Nothobranchius furzeri: one gene and its partners. The protein of the gene in region 1 interacts with the protein of each later gene in a pairwise test. Links are inferred from orthologs where the notes say so. Each region holds a gene or a part of one and is shown in the gene's direction. Other genes may lie near its edges.

The links.
Region 2: the proteins of NEDD4-like E3 ubiquitin-protein ligase WWP1 (region 1) and arrdc1b interact in binary tests that used the Homo sapiens proteins (3 or more experiments, as listed by UniProt). The link is inferred for Nothobranchius furzeri from reciprocal best matches to the Homo sapiens genes WWP1 and ARRDC1.
Region 3: the proteins of NEDD4-like E3 ubiquitin-protein ligase WWP1 (region 1) and smad3a interact in binary tests that used the Homo sapiens proteins (3 or more experiments, as listed by UniProt). The two-hybrid records come from large-scale screens. The link is inferred for Nothobranchius furzeri from reciprocal best matches to the Homo sapiens genes WWP1 and SMAD3.
Region 4: the proteins of NEDD4-like E3 ubiquitin-protein ligase WWP1 (region 1) and cpsf6 interact in binary tests that used the Homo sapiens proteins (3 or more experiments, as listed by UniProt). The link is inferred for Nothobranchius furzeri from reciprocal best matches to the Homo sapiens genes WWP1 and CPSF6.

The regions. Positions count from the first base shown.
Region 1 is NC_091747.1:36,664,833-36,670,751, reverse strand, and holds part of NEDD4-like E3 ubiquitin-protein ligase WWP1, read left to right. Parts: intron 1-75; coding exon 76-147; intron 148-258; coding exon 259-347; intron 348-422; coding exon 423-582; intron 583-2,263; coding exon 2,264-2,397; intron 2,398-4,908; coding exon 4,909-5,049; intron 5,050-5,140; coding exon 5,141-5,261; intron 5,262-5,484; coding exon 5,485-5,589; intron 5,590-5,754; coding exon 5,755-5,851; intron 5,852-5,919. UniProt on the Homo sapiens protein: E3 ubiquitin-protein ligase which accepts ubiquitin from an E2 ubiquitin-conjugating enzyme in the form of a thioester and then directly transfers the ubiquitin to targeted substrates.
Region 2 is NC_091746.1:74,984,506-74,990,424, reverse strand, and holds part of arrdc1b (arrestin domain-containing protein 1b), read left to right. Parts: intron 1-1,745; coding exon 1,746-1,856; intron 1,857-5,919. UniProt on the Homo sapiens protein: Functions as an adapter recruiting ubiquitin-protein ligases to their specific substrates. Through an ubiquitination-dependent mechanism plays for instance a role in the incorporation of SLC11A2 into extracellular vesicles.
Region 3 is NC_091749.1:43,543,509-43,548,976, forward strand, and holds the end of smad3a (mothers against decapentaplegic homolog 3a), read left to right. Parts: intron 1-1,087; coding exon 1,088-1,232; intron 1,233-3,221; coding exon 3,222-3,345; 3' UTR 3,346-3,567; downstream 3,568-5,468. UniProt on the Homo sapiens protein: Receptor-regulated SMAD (R-SMAD) that is an intracellular signal transducer and transcriptional modulator activated by TGF-beta (transforming growth factor) and activin type 1 receptor kinases.
Region 4 is NC_091741.1:47,839,806-47,846,197, forward strand, and holds the start of cpsf6 (cleavage and polyadenylation specificity factor subunit 6), read left to right. Parts: upstream 1-2,075; 5' UTR 2,076-2,167; coding exon 2,168-2,227; intron 2,228-3,823; coding exon 3,824-4,030; intron 4,031-4,121; coding exon 4,122-4,225; intron 4,226-4,347; coding exon 4,348-4,493; intron 4,494-6,392. UniProt on the Homo sapiens protein: Component of the cleavage factor Im (CFIm) complex that functions as an activator of the pre-mRNA 3'-end cleavage and polyadenylation processing required for the maturation of pre-mRNA into functional mRNAs.

The DNA.
Region 1 (5,919 bases):
ATCCCTCTTTTACTTACCCTTTTCCTCTCGTTGCATCTTCTTCTCACCCTTCCACTCCTCCTTGTCCTCCCCCAGTCCAACGCTCTCCCTAGCCATGTGAAGATCACCGTCTCCAGACAGACACTCTTTGAAGACTCATTTCAGCAAGTGAGACCCTCCAGCCATCTTTCAGCTGTTCTGTTGTTAATCACTGAAGAGGTGGACGTTTGCTAGTACGTTTTTTCTGCTTTAGTTTGATCCTGTGTGTCTGTGTTTCAGATCATGGCCCTGAAACCTTATGACTTGAGGAGGAGGCTTTATGTCATCTTCAGAGGCGAGGAGGGTCTGGACTATGGTGGCCTAGCTCGGTAGCTTAACCTTTCTAAAGTTAAAGATAAGTGAAGTAATGTTTGATCTGACTGATCCTGTCTCTGTCTCTGTAGGGAGTGGTTCTTTCTGTTGTCCCATGAAGTGCTAAACCCCATGTACTGCCTGTTTGAGTATGCTGGGAAAAGCAACTACTGTCTGCAGATCAACCCAGCGTCAGCCATCAACCCGGACCATCTCTCCTACTTCTGCTTCATCGGACGCTTCATCGCAATGGTACCTTAACAGGCTCTTACACACCAGCCCTGTAAGGATGGGAGGTGTTAAAGGGATCCCAGAATCTAAAGCCACATTTACCTTGTTGTTGAATAAAGGCAGCTTGGGGTGTCCGATGTACCAAAAGCCTGAGCCATCTCTGACGCGCTCTCCTTGGTAAATGAGTCATGTTGAAGTGGCTGTGGAGAACACTTCATAAGCTTGGATCAACACCTCCCACACACACAACGCGTGTCCCAACCCACTTCAGCGTCGGCAAATAAATAAATGCTGGTGGCAGTAAAGCTAACCCAAACTACTGCTAATGCTAACATGTTGGACGTGAGGACAAGAAAAAAGAAGAATGAGTTGGAGCACCACTCACGTTCCAGGATGTGTTGGGAATATCCAAACTAGTGCTGGACCGTTTTCTTTTATTATTTTATGATAAAACAAGTTAGTTGCTTGGTTTTCATCAACTCTCTGCTAAATCTGTAAATGACTGTTGTCTCTTTTCTGTTAGACGTGTAAAAATCAAAATGTTGCCATGCTGGTGAACTACTGTAACATTTTTATGGGACAGTTTTCTCCTGAGTCTCCTTGTTGTGACTTCTTGTTTTATGTTTGTTTAAGAGGGGAGGGCTTGGTGATGGAGCATACCTGGGTCTGTGGTTTTGATTGGTTGGGAATAAGTAATGACTAGTATTAAAGTAACACCAAAGAATTTCCTGCTCCTCTGCCCTACTGGTTGAAAGTGGAGTTACAACAGTTGTAAACAACTCTCCTGCCGCCTGCTGTAGCTAAGGCTAATAAACAAGCTAACACTTACATGAGCCGACTAATACTAAAATAAACCACAAAGTAAAACGATCCTCGCTGTTGTACAAAATATTATTGCGTACAAGTTCAGTAGCAACAAAGCCAGGTCACCATCGGTCCGTAGTTTCATAGCCTCCTTTAGCTCCTTAGGCTGTGCCGACTTTTAGCTCTTTGCTTCTCCTCCAGAGACACTACTCTCCTACTTCCAGGCTCTGCCATGATGCCAACAGAATTGAGTTTTCTTCTTGAGCTATTTATTCACTGTTTGCCAACTGCTACTCTTTATTTTAGCTACTGACACAATAAACAGCTAACAGCTCATAGAGAGCTCCCCCTAGGACACCTAACTGTCCCACAAAACTGTTTAGTGCGGTGTCTGGTCAGAAGACGGCTGTCCAACACTGGCTCACTGAACTGCTGCATTTCCCTGGGTCCTCCATTCATCACACACACTCAGTTATTTAGCATCAGAATACCACTGGTGTGAGAGGTTCTCCGCTCAATAACATCAGAGAATCAGAAACAGGTGGCTGCTACCACTTCAACTTTAGGACAAACTACCAGAAAGAAAAACACCATTTGAAGTCACAGACAACAAAAAATGCTTGGATCTAGAAACTGGTGACTGGTGTTTAGCACTCTCTCTGACAATGCGGGTTCCCATATCAGGGGGGAGTGGCCTAGGGATGATGGCTGACAAGAAGGGTGAGAGTTCTCTGACTGTCTTTGTGTTTAAAAGTTAGCCAGTTTTGCAGATTTTTTTATTGCAGCTTTAATTTCCGGATGTTTTTCAATCAGCAGCCATTCATATGTTTTCACTTTTATGCACGAACCTGCACATAATCTGTATTTCTGTAATTAGTCATCTCTTGTGTTCCTGTAGGCCCTTTTCCACGGGAAGTTCATCGACACGGGCTTCTCCTTGCCTTTCTACAAACGCATGCTGAACAAGAAGCTGATCCTTAAAGACCTGGAGTCCATCGACCCAGAATTCTACAACTCACTCATATGGATCAGGTAAACATCAGGGCTGTAGCATCGTTTGGTGTGGCCGATAGACATGCAGGTTACGGGTGTTACGAATCACCTTCAAGATTCCTTCAAGAGGAAAGTTCTTTTAAAATATTACTGAAAGGATTTTGTTCATTCACGTGATTTCTGAGAGAAAAAGCATCCCATTATGAACAAATGTGCTCAGTGCTCCATGTTTAGAGTCCGTTTGAACAAACCCTTCTTCTCTTCATAGGCGTTTATTCAGTTTGGGAGGTATTTTTGAACCCACAACCCTACCTGCATCGGAAATAAGAGCAAGGACAACATTTCAAACGTTGAAAATGAAAAAGACTCCTGAGTACCAGATCTTTAAGTTAACACTGTGGAACAGAACTAAATAAATCACTGAGATAAAAGAGAACTGAAAAAAAAAGTGAATAAAATGTTGCATAAGTTATATCTTTGCAGGCTTTGTCATTAATTGTTTAGATTTTAACCAGCTCCATGAGACTTTTACCAGGTCTAGCCGGTACAGCAACAGGGTTTTTCCTGAATCAAATGGAGGCAGAGGTGGTACCGTCCTGACCATGCACCAGCACATGCATACTCGGTGCATTCAACTGCCTCACTTTTTTGAAGGCAAAATATTTTTTTGTCAAGTGTTCTAATCTAAGCTTCTGTTGATGAATAGAGTATTCCATTTGACAATATTTCAAGTGAAACAAAACTGGTTTGCTGCTAAAAATTACGAAATAAAACAACAAAATGATCAGGCTGAAATAACAGACTTATTATAAAAGGCTCAATAATATGCATTAGATTGGTGTTTAGTTCCCTTTTCCCATCTGATATTTATAGTTAAAAATATTTTTAAATATTTAACCTACATTTCAGTAACATTTTAGGTTTGTATTAATAACACTCATCTTAGTCAAAATAACACATAAATATATCCAGTAAAATATAATGCATTTCATTAACATGCATTTGTATTGGAAATGGTAATAACATTTCATTTCTGCTGCTAACAGTGTAATGGTGGCATGTCCATTATGTACGGGTTGGCAATAATCCAGTTCAAATTATGTTCAGAGATAGAAGCGTTTGTGGATTATATACTACAACGGCTTGCCTTAGACTTGTAGCAGTAATGTCACTCGTATCTGCAGCGGTTCTGATCCAGAGTGCTGCAGGATGCAGGATAAACAGGATGGTGGGGACTTTTCATCCGCTTGTAGAGTTTAGTCTTAGTTTTTCGATCATCATATATTTTTCTGTGCGCCACTTGATCGTGAGACTGCTACCTGTTAGCTTTAGCCTATCTGTGTGTAGCAGCACTTTTGATCCCAAACTTTGGACCAGTTCTGCCTTTGCTGGTTCCTTTATTTTCCTCCACTGCATCCAGATTTCCACACTGTGTGCCAGTAAAAAGCATTTTTCTTACACGTAACTTACTTTTGTTCAATAAAGTTCTGGGGAAAATAGACAGACACACACAGACAGTGTTTTTTTTTTTTTTGTCGCACTGAGCCCTACTCTGATATGGAAGAGCCTGGGGGAAAATCAGGACGTCAATAGCACCAACCAAAGATATGTACCAACTAGCGAGAAAAGCCATTTTTCATCTTTTTTTGCAGCGGTTTTCGCGCTTTTTAGTGCACTGCTGCTGATACAGCACCTGTGTAGTGGCGCAACGCTGCAACTGCAGTTAAAATAACATCCATATAGCTGGGGGCAGAGTGAAATCAGGCTGGGGCGGCACAACATTAGCTGGAGGTGGCCGCCACGCAAATTTGAACGCAGGAAAAACCCTGAGCACGAACCACGGCAGGTGTCGTGATAGATGGCTTTATGTAGAGAATGTGTCAAGCACCTGCTGGCCTCGCAGATCATCACAGCCTCAGGCCACCATGTTGGTTTACCCTTACACATACGAGCTGCATTTCTCTGTCAGCTCTTCACTTGGCGAGTCCGGGGGTTCTTTTTCCACATAAAGGTCCTGAAACTAAACTAAACTGAACCAGAGCTCTCTTAGCACGTAACGTTTTACATTTCCACTGGTCACACCTCAGACTTCTGCACCAAACAGCCTCCTCTCTGCTGGACTGGAGGGAAGAGCTGCCTGAGGCAGGATCAGGGAGACCCACAGCCTGAAAGTGTTGTGAGCAGCTCTGAGTCAGTTTCTTTGTTTTCATTTGAAACAAGAAACAAGTATGAGCTTGTCGACACACTGAAATGTCATGATACTAAATCTGTGTTTAAAAGCTGTGCATTGATTTATTTTTATTGAGCATTTTCATTCAAACATTTCCAGAATTTTTATTGTGTGGTGCAATTCACACTCCAACTGCTAGGGGGCAGCAGGATTTTCCTCCTTTATTCTCACAAAATCACCAGAGGTGTCTGAACTGACTTGTACGATTAATTTTAGTCCTAAAAATTGCGACTATCATCTGACTTTTCGTGCCAGAATATGTCGTGTTGCCAGATTCTTGCCAGGACACACCCCTAATAAGCAGGATCTCCTCCCCTCAGGGACAACAACATAGAGGAATGTGGTCTGGAGATGTACTTCTCAGTTGACATGGAGATCTTGGGGAAGATCACTTCTCATGACCTCAAACCCGATGGCGCCAACATCCTGGTGACTGAGGAAAACAAAGAAGAATACATCAGGTTGTTTTCTCATCACAGGAAACCCTTCCGCCTCTGGCTTTCCTTCAGAGCAGCTCCGTTTGAAATGCTCTGCTGCTTTGTGTTTTTGCAGTCTGATGGCAGAATGGAGATTCTCACGTGGGGTCGAAGGTCAGACCAAAGCCTTCCTGGATGGATTCAATGAGGTGGTTCCGCTTCAGTGGCTCCAGTACTTTGATGAAAAGGAGCTTGAGGTGAGCAGTCATTTACTTTTAACTTCCATCGTTTATTATAACCTGACACTGACGCGCACCGTCCAAGGCCACGCCATAGAGGTTACTTATCATCTTGTGTGTGTGTGTGTGTGTGTGTGTGTGTGTGTGTGTGTGTGTGTGTGTGTGTGTGTGTGTGTGTGTGTGTGTGTGTGTGTGTGTGTGTGTGTGTGTGTGTGTGTGTGTGTGTGTGTGTGTGATCTAGGTGATGCTGTGTGGAATGCAGGAGGTGGACCTACAGGACTGGCAGAGGAACACTGTGTACCGCCACTACACCAGGAACAGTAAACAGATCATCTGGTTCTGGCAGGTACTCGCTCCTCACCTGTGCTACAGGTTTTAGAGAGCTGCTCATCCTCGTGGTGGCTTTGTTTCTCCGTGTGTTTGTTAAAGTCTGGCTCCGTCCTCTAGAGCTGAGCAGGGGCAGTCGGGTCAGTAATGATGACTGAGTTTGTCCTCACTTTCGTCCCCGCAGCTGGTGAAAGAAGTGGACAATGAGGTGCGACTGCGACTCATGCAGTTTGTCACTGGAACCTGCAGGCTTCCTCTGGGCGGCTTTGCTGAGCTCATGGGTCAGTAGTAGACATGTGAAACATCTGGAGCTGCGCTGATGCAAACGGTCTTCTCAGCTCACCGTTTT
Region 2 (5,919 bases), on another chromosome or scaffold:
GAATTTCTCCACAGTAGGACAAAGGTACATCTACCGGTAATCTTAATAAAAACAGATTGGCGCACGGCAGTGACGTAATTAAAAGCGCCGGTTAGATTAGCCGCGGCTAGTCTATTTACGCCTAGAAATCCCAGACCCGCTCCAAACGAACAGGGGAATCATGTTAATGATTCCTAACAAAGCCTTTCGACATGAAGATGTTTTGGTGCAGATAATGTCTTATGTCGAGGCTGCACCATGGGTGCCCGTCCGCACCCGTTATATGGATATACACTGATGGCGATTCGCCGATGGATCTAAATACCCCAGGGAATCCAAGTAGCACCAAAGTTGTCAGCGTGAGTAAACAAACGTACTGCATGCTAGAAATTAAGACCGGGTTGCAATAAATGGGAGTTTCCTTTAAGCACATAAGCGTGAATATACAACTACGTGTCGGACTTGGTATGCTAGCTTAGCTAATACTAATACGTGAGCTCAAATTTGTTGGTGCAATTAGACACATTCTTACTAGATTTAATAAATTTTAGACACCTGTTTCATTTCATCATGCAGTTTGGGGTGTCGGTCTCTCAGACGCTTGGCCAAATGTGTTGTGCTGCTGGACTTCGTAGCGATCTCTTTGTAGCACTCCTTGCAAACGGGTCTGTCATGGTCTGTTGCTTTCCTCGACTCATCAGCCTTGTATCCAAAGTGTTTCCACTCTGCACTTTTGCTCTTTGTGTTGTCGATTAAGTTGGGCTGTGAAGCGCCTCCCGAATTCGCTGTTGCCATTGTTAACGAAACTTGGATCGGAGACAACTCGCGTGGGAAATAACAATGTAGCCATGCGGCGTCTTCTTCTTCTGTTTGTCCGGGAGGCGGAGGCTGCTTTACGGCATCTGGCTGTCGTGTGTGTCGGTGTACTTGAAGAAGGCTGTGTATATGTGAGACTCCATAATATAGATACCATAGAGATGGAATATGTAATTTAGATACCACCTTTAGTATCGATTTATATCTAGGTATTGATTTTTTTGACAACACTAGTCCCACCAAACCAGAACAGGTGAGTTTTCAGCTCCTTTTTAAAGGAGACCACTGACCTCAGGCTCTCAGGAGAGAGTTTACAACATTAGCTCTCTCTTTGCCTCCTAGCTCTGTACAACAAGATGATAGTGAGACCAGACGGCTCCGTCTTTCTGCCTAATCCTCCGGCATCTGTCACATGTTTAGTGTTGGTTATCAGAGTTGTCATTTCCTCACAGACAACAAGAAGAAGCGCCGACACACAAGAGAAGAGGCGCCTGAATCTCAGCACACATGAACATTTCCACTGATTTCTGGTTAATTCTATCATAATAATTCACATTAATGTAGAAACTTTTTGTTCACTCCTGAAATTCTTCATAAAAGTGTTTTTCACTCTGAAGAGAAGGCTGTTTATCTCGTCGTCTGGATAATGAGTCGGAGAATCCAGCGCTACCAACGTTTTATTTACACTCTCCATGCAGCTCGCTGTTGACTCACTAAAACTCTGTTCACACCCTGGTATTATTGCTGCTCGGCGAACACAAACCAATTTAAATGCCCTTTTTGCTCCGTTCTCATGCTGGTCAGGGTGTACAGACTAATTGGTTTTCCCATTTAAATACGAATGCTATATTGTCCTCAATTCTGGCCGTATTCGTCCAGTTCTGTGTAAAGAACACATGAAGAGCGCTAGTTTTTCATTAAGATTAAACGACTTCCTGTTCTCTCCACAGCCATCAAGGTGTTCTGCCAGGGCTCATGTGGGATCTCCACCAAAATGAACGACTCCTCGTGGACTCTGGAGGAGCAGTACTTCAACAGCACTCTGTCAGTAGCTGATAAAGGTAATTCGAGTCTCACTGGGATTCGAAACCTCCATGTTTAAAGGGTCTGCATTGTCACGGCTACTTTAGAGCCCGGAGGTAAACTCTAGCTTTAGCTTTCTCTTGTTTCTGTCCACACTGAGGACAGAGCCGTCCTTTATGGGATGTGAGTGAGCAAAGCAAACATTTGCTGTTGTTAGGTCATAGATTTACCAGGGAAGTGAACAACTGAAGCAAACACGGCAAACCTGCTCTGTAAAAATGTCTCCTCAGAACTAATCTTTGGTTTTAAACAACTCCTGAAAGTCCATGGGGTGTTTCTCAATGTCCAGGCGCCTGGCTTACGAGGACACGGTCCTTCCTTGGTCAAAGAAAACGGTTAAATGGAACAGACTTGCATCATGTGACCGCGGCTTCCACGGCTGTCACGTAACGTCACGTGACACGGGAGACAACATTATATTTTATACGTATTAGTTTCAATATAAATATATAACGAGCCTTTCAGATCACCATTGCATTTTCTTTAACTTGTCAGTTTCTGCGTCCCCACCTCCTGCTCGCCGTCTGGTTAGTTCTCGTTTTCTTAATGAGAGCACAGCTAGCAATTTTTCTGCTGCTTCTGATCCACCCTGTTCTTCTGATAACGACCCAGATTCCTTAACTTCTCAGTTCAACGAGCACTGCCTCTCCATTCTGGACAACATCTGTCCTGTCAGAACCAGATCAGGTCCTGCAGTGAACCCTACTCCCTGGTTTAATGACAGCCTTCGCAGCCTGAAGCGCTAATGCAGAAAAATGGAGCGTTTGTGGAAGAAAACCCATCTCCACGTCCATCTGCTGCACCTAAAGGATCTTCTGACGTCCTTTAACTCTGCAGTCAGAGACGCTAGGGTTTCCTATTTCTCCAACATGGTGTCCCAGAGCAAAGGGAACCCCAAGGTGCTGTTTAACACCATCAGCAGCATCATCTCTCCTGCCTCTCCTACAGCCTCCATCCACTCTGTTGCAGACTGTAAGAACTTTCTGTATTTCTTTGTGGACAAAGTCAATAAGGTTAGATCTAGCATCTCTCCTTCAGCCTTATCGCCGCCTCTCCCGACTCCAACCAGGCCCATCATCCTAGATAGCTTTGCTCCTGTTTTTTTTGCCTGAGTTAACCAAACTAGTTAACTCTATGAAGACCTCTGCATGCCCCCTCCACATCTTACCCTCATCTTTGTTTAAAAGTGTTTTTCAGTCCATCGGTCCCAGCGTGCTCTCTATAATTAATGCTTCTCTGGTTTCTGGTCAGGTCCCTGCTTACTTTAAGAACGCTGTAATCCACCTGCTTCTTAAAAAACCGAGTCTTGACCCCTCTCTCCATAGCAGCTTCAGACCCATCTCTAAACTTCCGTTCATCTCCAAGATCTTGGAAAAGGTTGTGGCTAAACAACTCACAGCTGCTCTTGATGAACATAACATCTATGATAGCTTCCAGTCAGGTTTTCGTAGAGCTCATTCTACTGAAACAGCTCTTCTTAGGGTCTCTAATGACCTTCTGACCCACAGTGATGCAGGGGACTGTTCTGTTCTGGTCCTGCTGGACCTGACTGCAGCCTTTGACACTGTTGACCATCACCTGCTACTGGAGAGGCTGAGAGACTGGGTAGGCCTGTCAGGATCTGCTCTGGAGTGGTTCTCCTCTTATCTCTCTGAGCGCTCCTTTTCTGTGGCCGTCTCCAAGTTTAGGTCCTCCACCACCTCTCTTACCCATGGTGTCCCACAAGGTTCTGTGCTGGGGCCTCTGCTCTTCCTCCTCTATCTGCTTCCTCTTCAGCACATCCTGAGCTCCTTCAAAGGAATCTCCTACCATCTTTATGCAGATGACATCCAACTGTACATCTCCTTTAAGCCCCATGAGATGTCTAAGCTGCAGCTGTTACACACCTGCTTAGACTCTATCAAAACCTGGATGGTGGGAGCTTTCTACAGCTGAATGAAGATAAGACTGAGATCCTCATCTGTGCCCCAGACAAGCTGGTTCCCAAAGTCAGAGACTCTCTTGGTCAGCTTGCTTCCCACACCAAACCTTCTGTCAGGAATCTTGGCGTGACCTTTGACCCAGCTCTCACCCTGGATTCTCATGTCAGTTCTCTTGTTGGCTCTTCCTTCTTCCATCTCAGGAACATTGCTAAGCTGAGTCCCATTCTGTCCCGCTCTGAACTTGAGACAGTTCTCCACACCTTCATCTCCTCACGCTTAGACTACTTTAACTCTCTTTTCACGTGTCTGAGCAGAACCTCCTTGAACCGTCTACAGGTGGTTCAGAACGCCTGTGCTCGGCTTCTGACCAAGTCCTCCAAACACACCCACATCACCCCGCTTCTCCTCCAGCTTCACTGGCTGCCAGTCAACTTCAGGGTTCATTTCAAGATCCTGGTTCTGGTCTATAGGGCCTTACATGGACAAGCACCATCTTACATTGGTGATCTTCTTAGTCCCTACACCCCCAGCAGGTCCCTGAGGTCCAGTGACCAAAGCCTACTGGTTGTGCAGCACCAGGCTAAAGGTCAAAGGTGACAGATCATCTGCTGCTGTGGCCCCCAGACTCTGGACCTCTCTCCCCCTGAGCCTGAGATCAGTGGTCTCAGTGGTCTCCTTTAAAAAGCAGCTGAAGACTCACTTGTTCAAGCTGGCTTTTGTATGACCTTCTTCACCTCTCTCTCTTTATTCTGCTCTCCCCACCTATTCCACCTTCCTCAGGATCCACTGATTTCCCTCTTTCCTGTCCACTCTCTCTCTTTCTTAACATTTTTAATCACAATTATCTATTGTTGCTAACTTTAAATATATTTTTAAGCGTTTTATAAATATTTTTTACATTTTTTGTTTTTGTGAAGGGCCTCGTGATTTGTATCTTGAGAGTCGCTATAGAAATGATATTTTCGTCTTCTTGTTTTACTTTTTAAATTGTGTATATGTTTATTAAGTAATAAATATAAGTGAGTTACTACCCGCTAGCCACCGCAGCTGCAACTACTAAGCTACTAACCAACCATAGATAACTTCTTTGGATCTAAAAAAAAACATTTTAAATTAGCTGACTTACTTTTAAACTTGAAAATTGTCCCCGAAGTAGCTGCCGGCTTCTGATCCGCCGTCCTTTTGAAAATACCGCAGTGTATTCTGAGTAATTTTTGACCAAGGCTAGGCTACAAGACACCTCCCGTGTATCCTCGCTCAGCTAGCTAAACGGCTAACAAACTGAGAACACACGCCACGGTAGAACATGAAAATTGGAACACGTGTTGGCGGCTCCTGATGACGTATCTCCTTGGCAACCGGGGCGGGGCCAAGGCATCAAGGCGAGGTTCCTTGGCATTGAGAAATACCCCTTGTTACCTTCTTTCCGTTTCTTTTCTAGTTGCGTTGTTTTTCTGTTCTTATCTTGTTACGTCCCTCTGGTCGCTAGGAGAGATGTGGTAGAGGGAGTAAGAGATGTTGTGTGTAGGTAAATAATAAGTTTATAATAATAAGAGTATTTTTGTCTCAAACAAAGGATTTTTATTAAACACAAAGTGCCTATAAAAGGGAAAAAGGGTTAACAAAAAGCGCCAAGCCAAAAGGGCTGGGAGGAGAAAAATATCTAACTGAAATATTTACTATTAGTAAAACACTAAATTAAAAAAAAAATACAAATACTAAACAAGAGACGTCCTGTTAAGCAGAGACGCTCAGGAGAAATCCAAAAGGGGGAGTCAAAGGCCAGTCCAAAGTCAGAGTTACCAGAAATCCTAATTATCGAGAGTAAACCACAAAATCACCAAAGTACCACGAAGCAACACACACACAAGCACTCGAGGAGAAGAGAGAAACCTGAACACCTTCGTGCCCAAGCTTCCCTGTACCTTCTCACTGACTGAGGGAGGAGAGCAGCCTTTAACAGCTGCTCCCTGATTGGAGCGATTACAAACACCTGTTACACCGGGAGACAGGCGAGGCAAAGCCACTGAGGCCATCTTGTGGCTGAAAAGTGGTACTGTACGTAACAACAGAGTAGCAAAGTTTTTGTTTTTACCTTGTCTTGCTAACAACTTTGGCA
Region 3 (5,468 bases), on another chromosome or scaffold:
GCTCCGGCTCCTTCCCCGCCAGCGAGGTGACGTTCCATGTCCCAAAAACTAGTTTTCTTGTCCGGGGATTGGACCGCCAAGGCTCCCGCCTTGGTCTGCCACCCGATTCACATTGCACCGGACCCTTCATGTTCCTCCTGCGGGTGGTGGGTCCACAGTTGGACGAGCCCATGTATCCGGTTCGGGCTGGGCCCGGCCGGGCCCCATGGGCGAAAGCCCGGCCACCAGGCGCTCGCTCACGGGCCCCAACCCCAGGCCTGGCTCCAGGGTGGGACCCCGGTAACCCTCCGGGCCGGGTACTCCGACTCTTCGTTTTAACCGCCATGAAAGATCCTTCGAAGGAGATGTACAGTTGGATGTAATCTGCAGAAAGATGGTAGGAGATTCCTTTGAAGGAGCTCTTGATGTGCTGAAGAGGAAGCAGATAGAGGACGAGTAGAGGCCCCAACACAGAACCTTGTGGGACACCATGGGTAAGAGAGGTGGTGGAGGACCTAAACTTAGAGACGGCCACAGAAAAGGAGCGCTCAGAGAGATAAGAGGAGAACCACTCCAGAGCAGATCCTGATAGGCCTACCCAGTCTCAGCCTCTCCAGTAGCAGGTGATGGTCAACAGTGTCAAAGGCTGCAGTCAGGTCCAGCAGGACCAAAACAGTCCCCTGCATCACTGTGGGTCAGAAGGTCATTAGAGACCCTAAGAAGAGCGGTTTCAGTAGAATGAGCTCTACGAAAACTTGACTGGAAGCTATCATAGATGTTATGTTCATCAAGAGCAGCTGTGAGTTGTTTAGCCACAACCTTTTCCAAGATCTTGGAGATGAACGGAAGTTTAGAGATGGGCATGTCCCTGTCAGCCTCTGGGGGCCTGCATAATGGCATTGTGTATCTCAATCGCTGAGCTGATGGAGAAGAATCAGGCTTCAGAAGTTCTCTAGTTCTCACTGCTCCAGTCTTAAACCAGATAGTGAACCTGTTGGATTGTCTTGGTCTGATATCAGCGTATCTGGAGAACCCAGAGGACAAACCGGTGTGCTGCCTGTATAATGTTGTGTCTACTTTATGTTTCTCCTTGCTCTGCTACCTTTAGGATGTAACCTCAAGATCTTCAACAACCAGGAATTTGCTGCCCTGCTAGCACAGTCAGTCAACCAGGGCTTTGAGGCTGTTTACCAGCTTACCAGGATGTGCACCATCCGCATGAGCTTCGTCAAGGGCTGGGGAGCTGAATACAGGTGAACCGTTCAGATTCTTCATGATTCTTGTTCCTCACCCTACAGCTGAGATGATTTCCTACTTTTGGATTGGTTCTTATTTTCTATGACAACCGAGTAGAACTGGTGCTTGTCTTGGGTTTGAATCCTGTCCAGAACAAACTCCATTATGGGGGCTCTGCCAATCCAGCACTGCACGCTCGATTTAGGTTCCTGCTCCTGCCAAATAGAAAAGAAGTTACAAAAACAACAACTTTTAATTGTGCAGATTTCACTAGAAGAGTGGAAAGTTTCACACAAAGGAGAAAACTACTCAGAGCAAGTCTAGTTTACATAATGTTAAGGGCCTAATCTCTAGCCTGTTTATTACACATCAGTCTGATGTTTTTCAGGTTACCTCTAACCACCGGTAGTTGATCTACATCCCACATTTGTTTTGTTGGAATCTGGTCCTTGAGTCACTGTTTAGTTTTGAATAAATATTAAGCCCTCACTTATTAGCTGTGCCATTGTGTAGAGATTACTGATCAAAGATGGACTCCCCACAGCATGGGTCTACACGTAAAAAGAGACAATAGAAGCACGCTCTGAGTCACAGAGCTCAGCCACCTCCACTCACACTCTGGTGAATCCTCAGGATGACGTCATGTAGCCCTCGTCAACAGAAACAGGCCCAGACTATTTCTAAACAAACACACATGTGCTGTGTCAGAAGAGACGTCAGACTTTCCCTCTTCGACTCTGAGATTTCCACATGGGTTGACTCACTGATAGTAAGAAAGGAGGAGACAGAGCAGAGGGCTGGCTCCATGCACTAGTTTCACAAACGAAAGACCTTTGTGCTGCGAGGAGCAGTCTACCAGATGCTGGCATGTGGAGGAACCAGGATTCACCTTTTCCAGCTCTGTTCCTAACCCTTTTGTTCCTTCTTAAATGTTCTTTACAGAACAAGTGTAGAAAGGAACACACATAAAAAACTACCAAGTTCAAACCTAAAAAAGGCAAATGCTACACCTACAAATATACCAAACACCAATGAAAGCAAAACTAAAGCAAAGCAACAGGAAGAGGATACGGTGACGCTTTTAGCAGCGACCATCTCAGCTAGCAGGTGTTGTTTAGAATCAAACAGCAGCTGCTGAGTGAAAACAGAAGCTGGTGTGATGTTTGCAGAACATCGAATCTTTTCACAAACCTGAGCCACTTCCTCCTGTGATGAATGGTAGTGTTACTGCTCACTGCTGACGCCATCATCTAAAACCTTTTTATTCCACTTTTAGCATCAAACTGGAAACACTGGTTTCATCTCATCAGTCACAGACTGTTTTCTCAGAGTAAGAAATCAGGACAAAGGCAGATCATGTAATGATCAAATAAGCTTCTTTTTTTTACTCTGCTGCATTTTAAAATATGATCTTAATTAAATGAATTTTTTAAAGTGTAAAACGGATCAATAATTGGTAAATAAACATGAACAACAGCAGCTATAAACATGAACACAAAACAGAATGATTCTTTATTTGCTGAATGAAAGCTCCTTAGATTTAGTCTTTTATGAACATTAGCTTAGGAAGAACAAGATCTGCTCTGTAGATTGGGGATTCTGTTGCTTAGCAACAGTAGATAAACACACCAGAAGAATGGGAACATTTATAAACAGGAAATTATCTCTTTTCATGAAGCTTTTCTCTCTGCCAGATGCACACAGATGAACCTCAACATGCACGTATCACATGTGATCATCATCTGATCCCAGTTCTGTTGCACCGGGACCATCAGCAGCACGAGTGTAGCGTGGCGTCAGCAGTGTTACTGTGTGATGTAGAAGTATAGATGTCGAGTTCCTGAATCCTGATTGTGTCAGTCCGCTCTCTCTCTCTAAACATCTGGCTGTCCCCTCTCTCCATCTGTTTCCTGTGTGTGTGTGTGTGTGTGTGTGTGTGTGTGTGTGTGTGTGTGTGTGTGTGTGTGTGTGCGTGCGTGCGTGCGTGCGTGCGTGCGTGTTTGCAGGAGGCAGACAGTGACCAGCACCCCCTGCTGGATCGAGCTGCACCTGAACGGCCCGCTGCAGTGGCTCGACAAGGTGCTCACACAGATGGGCTCCCCGAACATCCACTGCTCCAGCGTCTCCTAGGGCAGCATCTCCTCGCCCCGCCCACCCTCCTGTGCACCTCGTCTCCTCATCAGAGACACGAAACTTAAACTAAAAGATGACAGACTCTTCATTCAGCCACTCTTTATCGCCCACAAACACACACTTGCCATCAGAAGCACTTTTCACAGTTTGTGGCAAAAGGGGACAAGTGCATTAAAGTCGGACCGTGTTAGTAAAACCTGATGCTAGTTTTAATCTCTGAGGGCCAGAGAGGCTTTAGACTTACGGAGTTCTTATTTTATTTGCTCTTTGATTGAAAACTGTTTATGGTTTTGATCATCTGTACAGATTTTAAGATCAATTAGAAAAAAGAAAGAAATATGTGGATTGTGTTAGTCCCACATTTCTGAATCTTAAAACATTTCAGTTGACTTTTTTAGTATTTGGTCATCTGACGTTTTGGTGCAGATGTGAATCAGTTAGCCAGACCGAAAGTGATGCCTATAATAAAAGGAGACGGTTATGTTTACAGGAATATTTTTAGCTCTCGTTTCTTCAGCTTGTTAAACAGGAATGTTCATCTTCAAACGGGATCAGATTACAGACGAGCTGAAACATTCAAACCCGTCTAAAGAAACTGTCAAAGTTTGTGACACCGGTTTGACAGTAGATGAGAAGCAGCTGGTAGTAAACTTTAAAACTTTACTCAAGTATTTAGAAACAGCTAAACTTGCTGGAAGTAGCTGCATGAATGTTGAACTCTGGTTGAAAGTTGATATTCCGGTCTAAGGAGGTTGGGAAAACTCATCAAAGTTTAAATGAGAGAATTATGCATTAAAATCAGGAAGCTTTGCCACTTTTCAACCCAGTTTTGCTGCATTTTATGTTGTAATGAATAAATGCTTTTAAACTTGAACACATCTCACATACTTTAATGTCCTTCAGACTTCTAGAGCTGAGCAGACTTATGTGAACACGTAATGTGTGAAAACTGCAGGAAGGAGCGAGACTTAAGAGCAGCTTCTAACTGGTCTTATTTTAGCCACACTGACTTTTCACATAGGACTCAAGAGGGAAAACCGCTGGAAATAAAAACATCATTAAGTGATGAATCATAGTTCAGACTTTCAGGTGTGTGTTTTTTATAGCAGTCAGTTTTGTCCAGGCGGTGTGACCTGAGCGAACACACCACTGGCTGCTTTGGAGGCCAATTCTCTACTTGCTAACCGATTTCATCAAAGCTTCTGACAAAGGGAAACATGTAGATAAATAGAAGCATGTAAATATCAGTAGTGTCTTAAAATGTGTCCTTTTTTAATTTTCAGGTCTCTACGTTTAACACACAGATGTGTGTTTATTTGTGACCAGTATTAAATGAATGGGTTACGAGGCAGAAAAGTTTTTAAAAAGTTTCTAGTTTCCTGTGAAGCGCCCACTCAGGTGGAAGTGGATCAGTTTCCTTCTGTAACACTAGACAATAATGCCAGCCGGTCGGTGCTAATCTAACATGTTAGGGGCTAAAAGGAAACAGCAAAGATGTTTATGTTCATAGAATTTTATGAAATGTTAAAAAAGTGACGTGTGAACCTGAAAACTGAAGTGTGAGATTGTTTCAGAACCAGTAGCATCTACCAGTCTGGAACAAACCAGCGTGCCGTGTCCCTGATTCTGTTGGGATCTTAAACATGTTTAATGTATTTACCCAGTTGGGAAAAGGGTTTTTTATACACTCAAAAACATTGTTTGCTTTATCTTCCCGTGTTTAATAGGTGACTGTAATAATGAGCTGTGATTTACGCTCTCCTGCTCTGAATTGGTTTTTAGATATTTTATTTCCCTGCCTTTATTATACGGTTGTGATGCTTTGTATTATTGTGTTCAATAAATAAAAATGTAAAAGTTGTGGTGAAACCAGAGGTGATGAGTCTGTTTTTATTTCAGGTTTTAATTTTGTCACAAACTCCTTCTATTTGCTTGGTTTCGTAGCTCATGAAGCTGCTTTTCTTTAGCATTTACCATAACACATAACAGGCATATTTTAGGTATTTGTGGTGGTTTGGTTCCCTCCAACAGTAATTAACAGCCTAGAGCAGACAGCACTGTAAGAACTCATTTAATCCGTGGCTGCTGTGACAGACAGGATGCAGCTCTGAGCATAAAGA
Region 4 (6,392 bases), on another chromosome or scaffold:
GCAGCTTGTGGTGACATCACAGCAGAGTCCTGCAGAGGGTGGATTCGACACTCCAGAAGATACTTTCCCCGATGCATCGATAGAGCTGACATTCCCTGTGATGCTGATGAAAATATGTGGGCAGACAGACGGGAGCGTGTAGATATCAATGATTGATATGCAGCAGTGTCTGTTCAGTTTTTTTTTGTTTCATAACTACTGCAGTAAGGCTTACTGTGTAAGTGAGTTTATATTTGCTGTAAAATATTTGTTTTACTGTATTTCCCCAGTTGCACAATGCTGTGAACAGTTTCGATTAAATATTATCAAGAGTGCACATGAAGTGTCTTGATTTTCCTTTACAATTTATGGTTTTCAACATGCCGTGCATGCTGTCCAGACTTGACATGTCATTGGGAAGCACCTACAAAGAAATCCGTCACAATGAGAACACGTTCAAACCATTTGATTTTGTGACCAAAGGTGCCGGTGTAATCACTTGTAATTGTGACAGCCCTGACACTTTGATTGATATAAGTACTTGCCTTTGATGAATATATTATTTATTTTGATTAAGGGACTTGCTTTTGAAGCATTGACTACTTATTTTCAACAACTGACTTTTCTTTTTGATGAAGTGATTCACTTTTGCAAGTTATCCACCATGTTTTGCAGTTTGCACTAATTGTTTTGAGAAGAGCCTTAGTAGTGGTGCAGAGATCAATCCAGTTGTGAGAAATGCACCACAGCAACTGAGAAAAACTGTAATGAAATGCCATCCAGCCCATATCGCCCGTGTGGCCAGAATATCCCACCTGGCGCTGTGTAGGGGCCGGGGTGAGTCAATCCCCAGTAAGTCGTGGCAGATGGCTGATTATACTGATCCAAGATCCTCTTGAGGTTTCTTCCTGTTAAAAGGAGTTTTCATCTCCACTGTTGCTACATGCTTGCTTTGAATGAGGATTGCTGTAAAAGACACTGACACTAGGCAGTGTCTCAATACAATTTGCTGGGTTCCTTATATGGGAAAACTTTTTACTAATTGGTATAATGAATTGAATTGGTTAGTAATGTGAAGTGCCATGAGATGACTTGTGATTTGGCACTATATAAATAAACTGGACAGAACTGAGGTAAATTTAATAAAATATATTATTTGATCACATGCTCACCAGATACAAGTCTAGAAATATTAGGATACGTTTTTAAATATTTGTTCTTAGCAACATTTTCTGAAATTACTGGAACAAAATCAACGGAATCGATTAAGTAATTTCAAAAGGAAAGAACCAATCAAGAGGGAAACAATAGAACGTTGATGTCTCTTTGTGCTGTTTAATTGAAACCTTTGTCGCCCTCTTGTGGCTATGTTGTGACAATACAACTCCAATCCAGTCCAACACTCCCAATACTAGGCTCCAAATAATAAAACATTTGTACGTAAACGAGCTTTAAAGATCTTTAAACCCGTAGAGCACCACCAGCTGCTATCTCGTTAAAACACATAAATCATAGAAAATGCAATATTTCAGTGTGTCTTTTGTGTGACCAAATCACGACGTATTAAATATTTCTAGCTGTGATTGTTTTTCTTAAATTAGCTAAGAAAAAATTCTTAATTTTTTGATAACACGTTTATTGTAATGCTGATTTAAAAAACCCCACAAGGGTGCAAACAAACATACAAACAAGAAGATAATTAATATTTTTTAATCGCATGCATGGTTATTATAACATGTTTAATCTTGTAGTAATTCGATGGTCTGAAGACATTTGGCCACACACAACTTTGGCAACTCTCTAACTGGTCCACTTGATAACAAGATGTACTTATAAACAATATTTTAAAAATAAACACAAATTGTATTATGTTACATACATAAGGACATATTTTTACATATATAAGAACATAGTATTGTTATTATTATTAGATAGATAGATGGATGGATAGATGGATGGATGGATGGATGGATGGATGGATGGATGGATGGGTGCAAGTGTGTCAAATTTCATGTCTCCAAACCAAACAGATTTTCATTATGAAACTTATTAGAATGAAAAGTGGGTTATTTACTCGTGTACCCACAGCGGCCAGCAGGGGCGCGCCCTGAGGTTGCTTGTTTGTGGGTCGTTGTTGGGTCTGCAGACTGCACCGCCGCGCGGGTAGAGAGCGGCGGATCGGGAGAAAATGGCGGATGGTGTGGATCATATCGACATTTATGCCGATGTGGAGGAGGAATTCAGCCAGGTATTATTAACTCACGGCAGTTCATTCAACCGTGTTTGGTTTTGTGGAGGCTTGTAATCATTTGTTGGTATTAGAATTGGATAAAATCGTATTTGTATGCGAGTCTGTTGAAGAGGCCTTTCAGGGCGCTTGGTTGCAGCTCAGCTTCAGATCAATGTAGCCTTTGAAGTAAAAGCATTCACCGAGGCGTGTGTTTTGCCCAAGGGTTTATACAACGGGTACATAATTATTAGTATAATTTTACGCGAGTAAACAAGATTTATAGCCACTTATTCGTGTAGCTCCCTTCCAGGCCTCCGCGTGGTTTCCCATGGCGGACCAGCGAGTCAAACAGATGCTCCTACTGTTAGCTACTATGAGCTAACCTCGTAGGTTTTCCAAACGATCGTGTGAATCAGCTCAGATTTTTATGAGCTGCCACCCATTCGCTTTTAAAGTAAATGAGTGGGAATGCTCCGCAGTGCCTGGGTAAGTGCATGTTTAATTTAGAGATGAGTTGATAGAACATTTGTAGCACTAGCTTGTAGAGGCTGCGTAAAGAAGCAGTACATCCGGGCATTTCGCTGCTTACGCCCCTTCTTTCTGAGGGACAAACAGCCTCCATGATTTGAACGGTAATCAACAATAATCCCTCAATGTTCCTACAACAAAAGCACGACATACGCAAGCTAATTTGTTTTAATGCCAGGGCGAGGTACCAAAGACAACAAAAGGGTGGCGCTGAAATGTCTCACACGAATGTATAAAACAACTTTAATGTAGTCCATTGAACAGTAGTTACATCTTATAGGAATTTAATCCCTTTAAGTCAGTGTCCTGGTAACAACATGTATTGAAATTTTAACATTATCTCTCATATTTTTAACGTGACACTGAAAACCCATTTTTTTTTATTATTTCTGAACATGAAAACAGTCTCCTACACCTATCTCCTGCATCAGCTTCTGGTAGGAAATAGTCGGTGAAACTCTAGGATTTGAAAAGCCTGACAGATCTTCATCACACAGTCACTTAACATTCATGGACTCGCCCGTTTTGACTCGCGCAACAGGAAAGGTTGTTTCTGTTTTAGCATCCGGTAAACAGCAGGGAACTAGTAAAAGCTACCTGTTGGTGTTAGCAACACCACCACACAGCAGAACTCCTTCAAGCTTGTGCAGTTTGTGGAGATAAAACATCAGTGTCACACAGCAAGCAGTCAGTGGTAGAGTTGCATTGCTGTTGGCCAGTTTAAGGGAAATGTCCAAGTATCAGGAAATAAAACACAAAACCCTGCCGTCCGAAGCTCACCTCTGATCTGGCCCACTTCTAGTTCCTGAAACAGGTGCACCGGAGCTTTTTTCCCCCAGAGTATGACTTACTAGGCATTTATTCCTGCTAGAGACCACCGCAAATGTATTAAAAATCTAAGTAAAGTTGATCTTTAAATAATACAAATCAGTAAAACGAATTATAGTTTCTGTAAAGGGGGACTACTAATGATTTATTAAGCACTCAATATAGAGTAGATTTTTTTTATGTAAATAAACAATTTAAAGTGAAAAGAATGAAGTAGAAACATCCTGTTTTTGATTCATACATTTTATCATACCTCAGGAACCAGAGTACCCAGCTCATGAGCAGATCGACTTGTATGATGATGTAATCTCACCTTCGGCCAATAATGGAGATGCTCCTGAAGACCGGGAGTACCTGGATGCACCACTTGCTCCAGGTGGCTCGGAGGGGGGGAAGAGTGCACCACCCAACGCATACACCTACACAGGCAAAAGGATTGCCCTGTATGTAGGAAACCTCACGTGGGTGGGTATCGGTCATCTTAACAGCCAAAATGTTTTTATAGCATTCATCAGAAAATTTGGTAAGATCACTCAAATTTTGTTTTCTCTCACAGTGGACAACAGATGAAGACCTGACAGAAGCCGTCCGTTCAATAGGCATCTCAGATGTGCTAGAGATTAAATTCTATGAAAACAGAGCCAATGGCCAGTCAAAAGGGTGAGTGAGGCCATTGTTTTTGTGTTTGATTTAAGTATAACCCTTGTATTGTCTCCAGCTTCTCTGATTGCTGTGAGCATGATTATTAAAATGACTCTTGTGTTTGTCTTTGCGTTCTTCAGATTTGCTCTCGTGTGTGTGGGTTCAGAAGCATCATCCAGGAAGTTAATGGAGTTGTTGTCGAAGAGGGAGCTCCATGGACAGAATCCCATCGTTACACCGTGCAACAAACAGTCCCTCAGTCAGTTTGAGATGCAGTCACGGAAAAGTAAGTTTAAAGTTACAATGGCAGATCTGCAAAAGAACGTCTACCAACTTAGGGTAGCTACCAATCTATTGTGGAGATGAGCGTCAGTGTTTTTGATTTTGATGCGCCGATCCAATCAAGCGTTTGGAGTTTAGGCCCGATCACTTGATTTTCCGAAGATGAGAATCGTGTGAAAAAGATTGGATTTAACCGTATAAAACAACAAATGTAACTTTTAATTCTTCCTGAATAGAAATTTTCAAACGGCTTAGTTTTAAGAAGACATCTAGAGGCAGACACGGAGCCGCTTTGAAGAATACCTCGTGGAAAAACTCTTAAAGTATGAACGTTTTATTCACCGGTGACTGGAGGAGTGAAAAAATATGCAGCAAGCGTTCTTTTCGTGGATGGAAATGATGGGAAACGTAGGCTTAGAGGTGGCGAGTGCATGAAGAGGTGGAGTAGGAGGAGGGACAATTTTGTCCGTGTTAAAAAGTCTCGGAAATAAAATTTAAAAAACGCAATAATTATTAATAATAATAATGCATTGAACTTATATAGCGCTTTTCTAGACATCCAAAGACGCTTTTTCCACTCACTCTCACGTTCACACACTGCTAGTGATGGTAAGCTACTTGTAGCCACAGCCGCCCTGGGGAGGTCTGACAGAGGCGAGGCTGCCATTTGGTGCCGTCGGCCCCTCTGACCACCACTAACACAGGCAAGTTGGGTGAAGTGTCTTGCCCAAGGACACAACAGCAGGATACCCCTGGCGGGAGCTGGAGTCAAGCCCATGACCCTCTGATCATGAGGCAACCCGCTCTACCACCTGAGCTACTGCTGTCCCAAAATCCACTATATTGGGCCAGATACATGACAGGATACCTCAGAACAGCGCTACACCCTCTGTTGTCCTGGTGGGGAACAGCTTTGCAACACTCCTCAGGAGACGGAGAAGTCCGAACAAATCGCCTCTGTCCATTCGTGCGTGTCTCCCTCGTGGAGCTGACAGAAGTATAAATTAGGCTTAACAGCCACTTATGTGTGCATACTGGGCATTCAACAAGCTGGAAAAGAGAGCTGCATGATAAGCAGCCTTCAAAACAAACTACCTTCTCCTTCGGCCTTTTCCCTTCGGGCATCGCCACAATGACTCATCGAGTTGCTTTAAGTCCCAGTTCACATCTCTTTGTTTAGATAAGCCTGCTGGATGTAGTGCTGCATGCCCCCCCCCCCCCATCACGGGAACGCGCGTTACTCAATACAGCCGCATAATGAGGATGTAAACAATTTGACGTATGAGCAACTTTGTTACTTTTATATATATTTATAATATTAGCACGTTTGTTTTATTCGTGTACTTCCTAATAAGCAAGTCATGTTTTTTTTGTTTGTTTTTTTTTGGCAGAGAAACTTAATTATTTGGATGTTTTCCCATTTTTCTTACATTAATGCTGTGCTGAAGTATCGGATCGGGTCTCTGTATCGGTACATAGTCTAAATCAAATGACTCGGATCAGGAGCACAAGTTTATGTATCCATATATCATATCTAGTTTATTTGTCTACATAAACACAAGTAAAGACAAAGTTGTATTTGAAGCTGCAATGCTTTGCAGCCAGGAGCACATCCCTTGAATGAGCACAGGTATTAGCATCAACTGTGACAATTAATTTGCAGGAAAGAAGTGTGTCCCATTTATAGAAGTTTTTTTGCGTTTAGAGTTTTTGACGGCTTGTCCATGCAGAGCTTCCGTAGTTCAGTTACATCCATAGCTGCTAGCCAAAACTCAGTGGAGTTGAAGTCTTACGGATTTCTGGCTTTACTAAAATGTCTGTACTTATTTTGATTGGTGACAGCTTTTACTTTTTATTAGACTCCAAATGTAATCATTTGGCACGTTGCTCATTCGCAATTTGT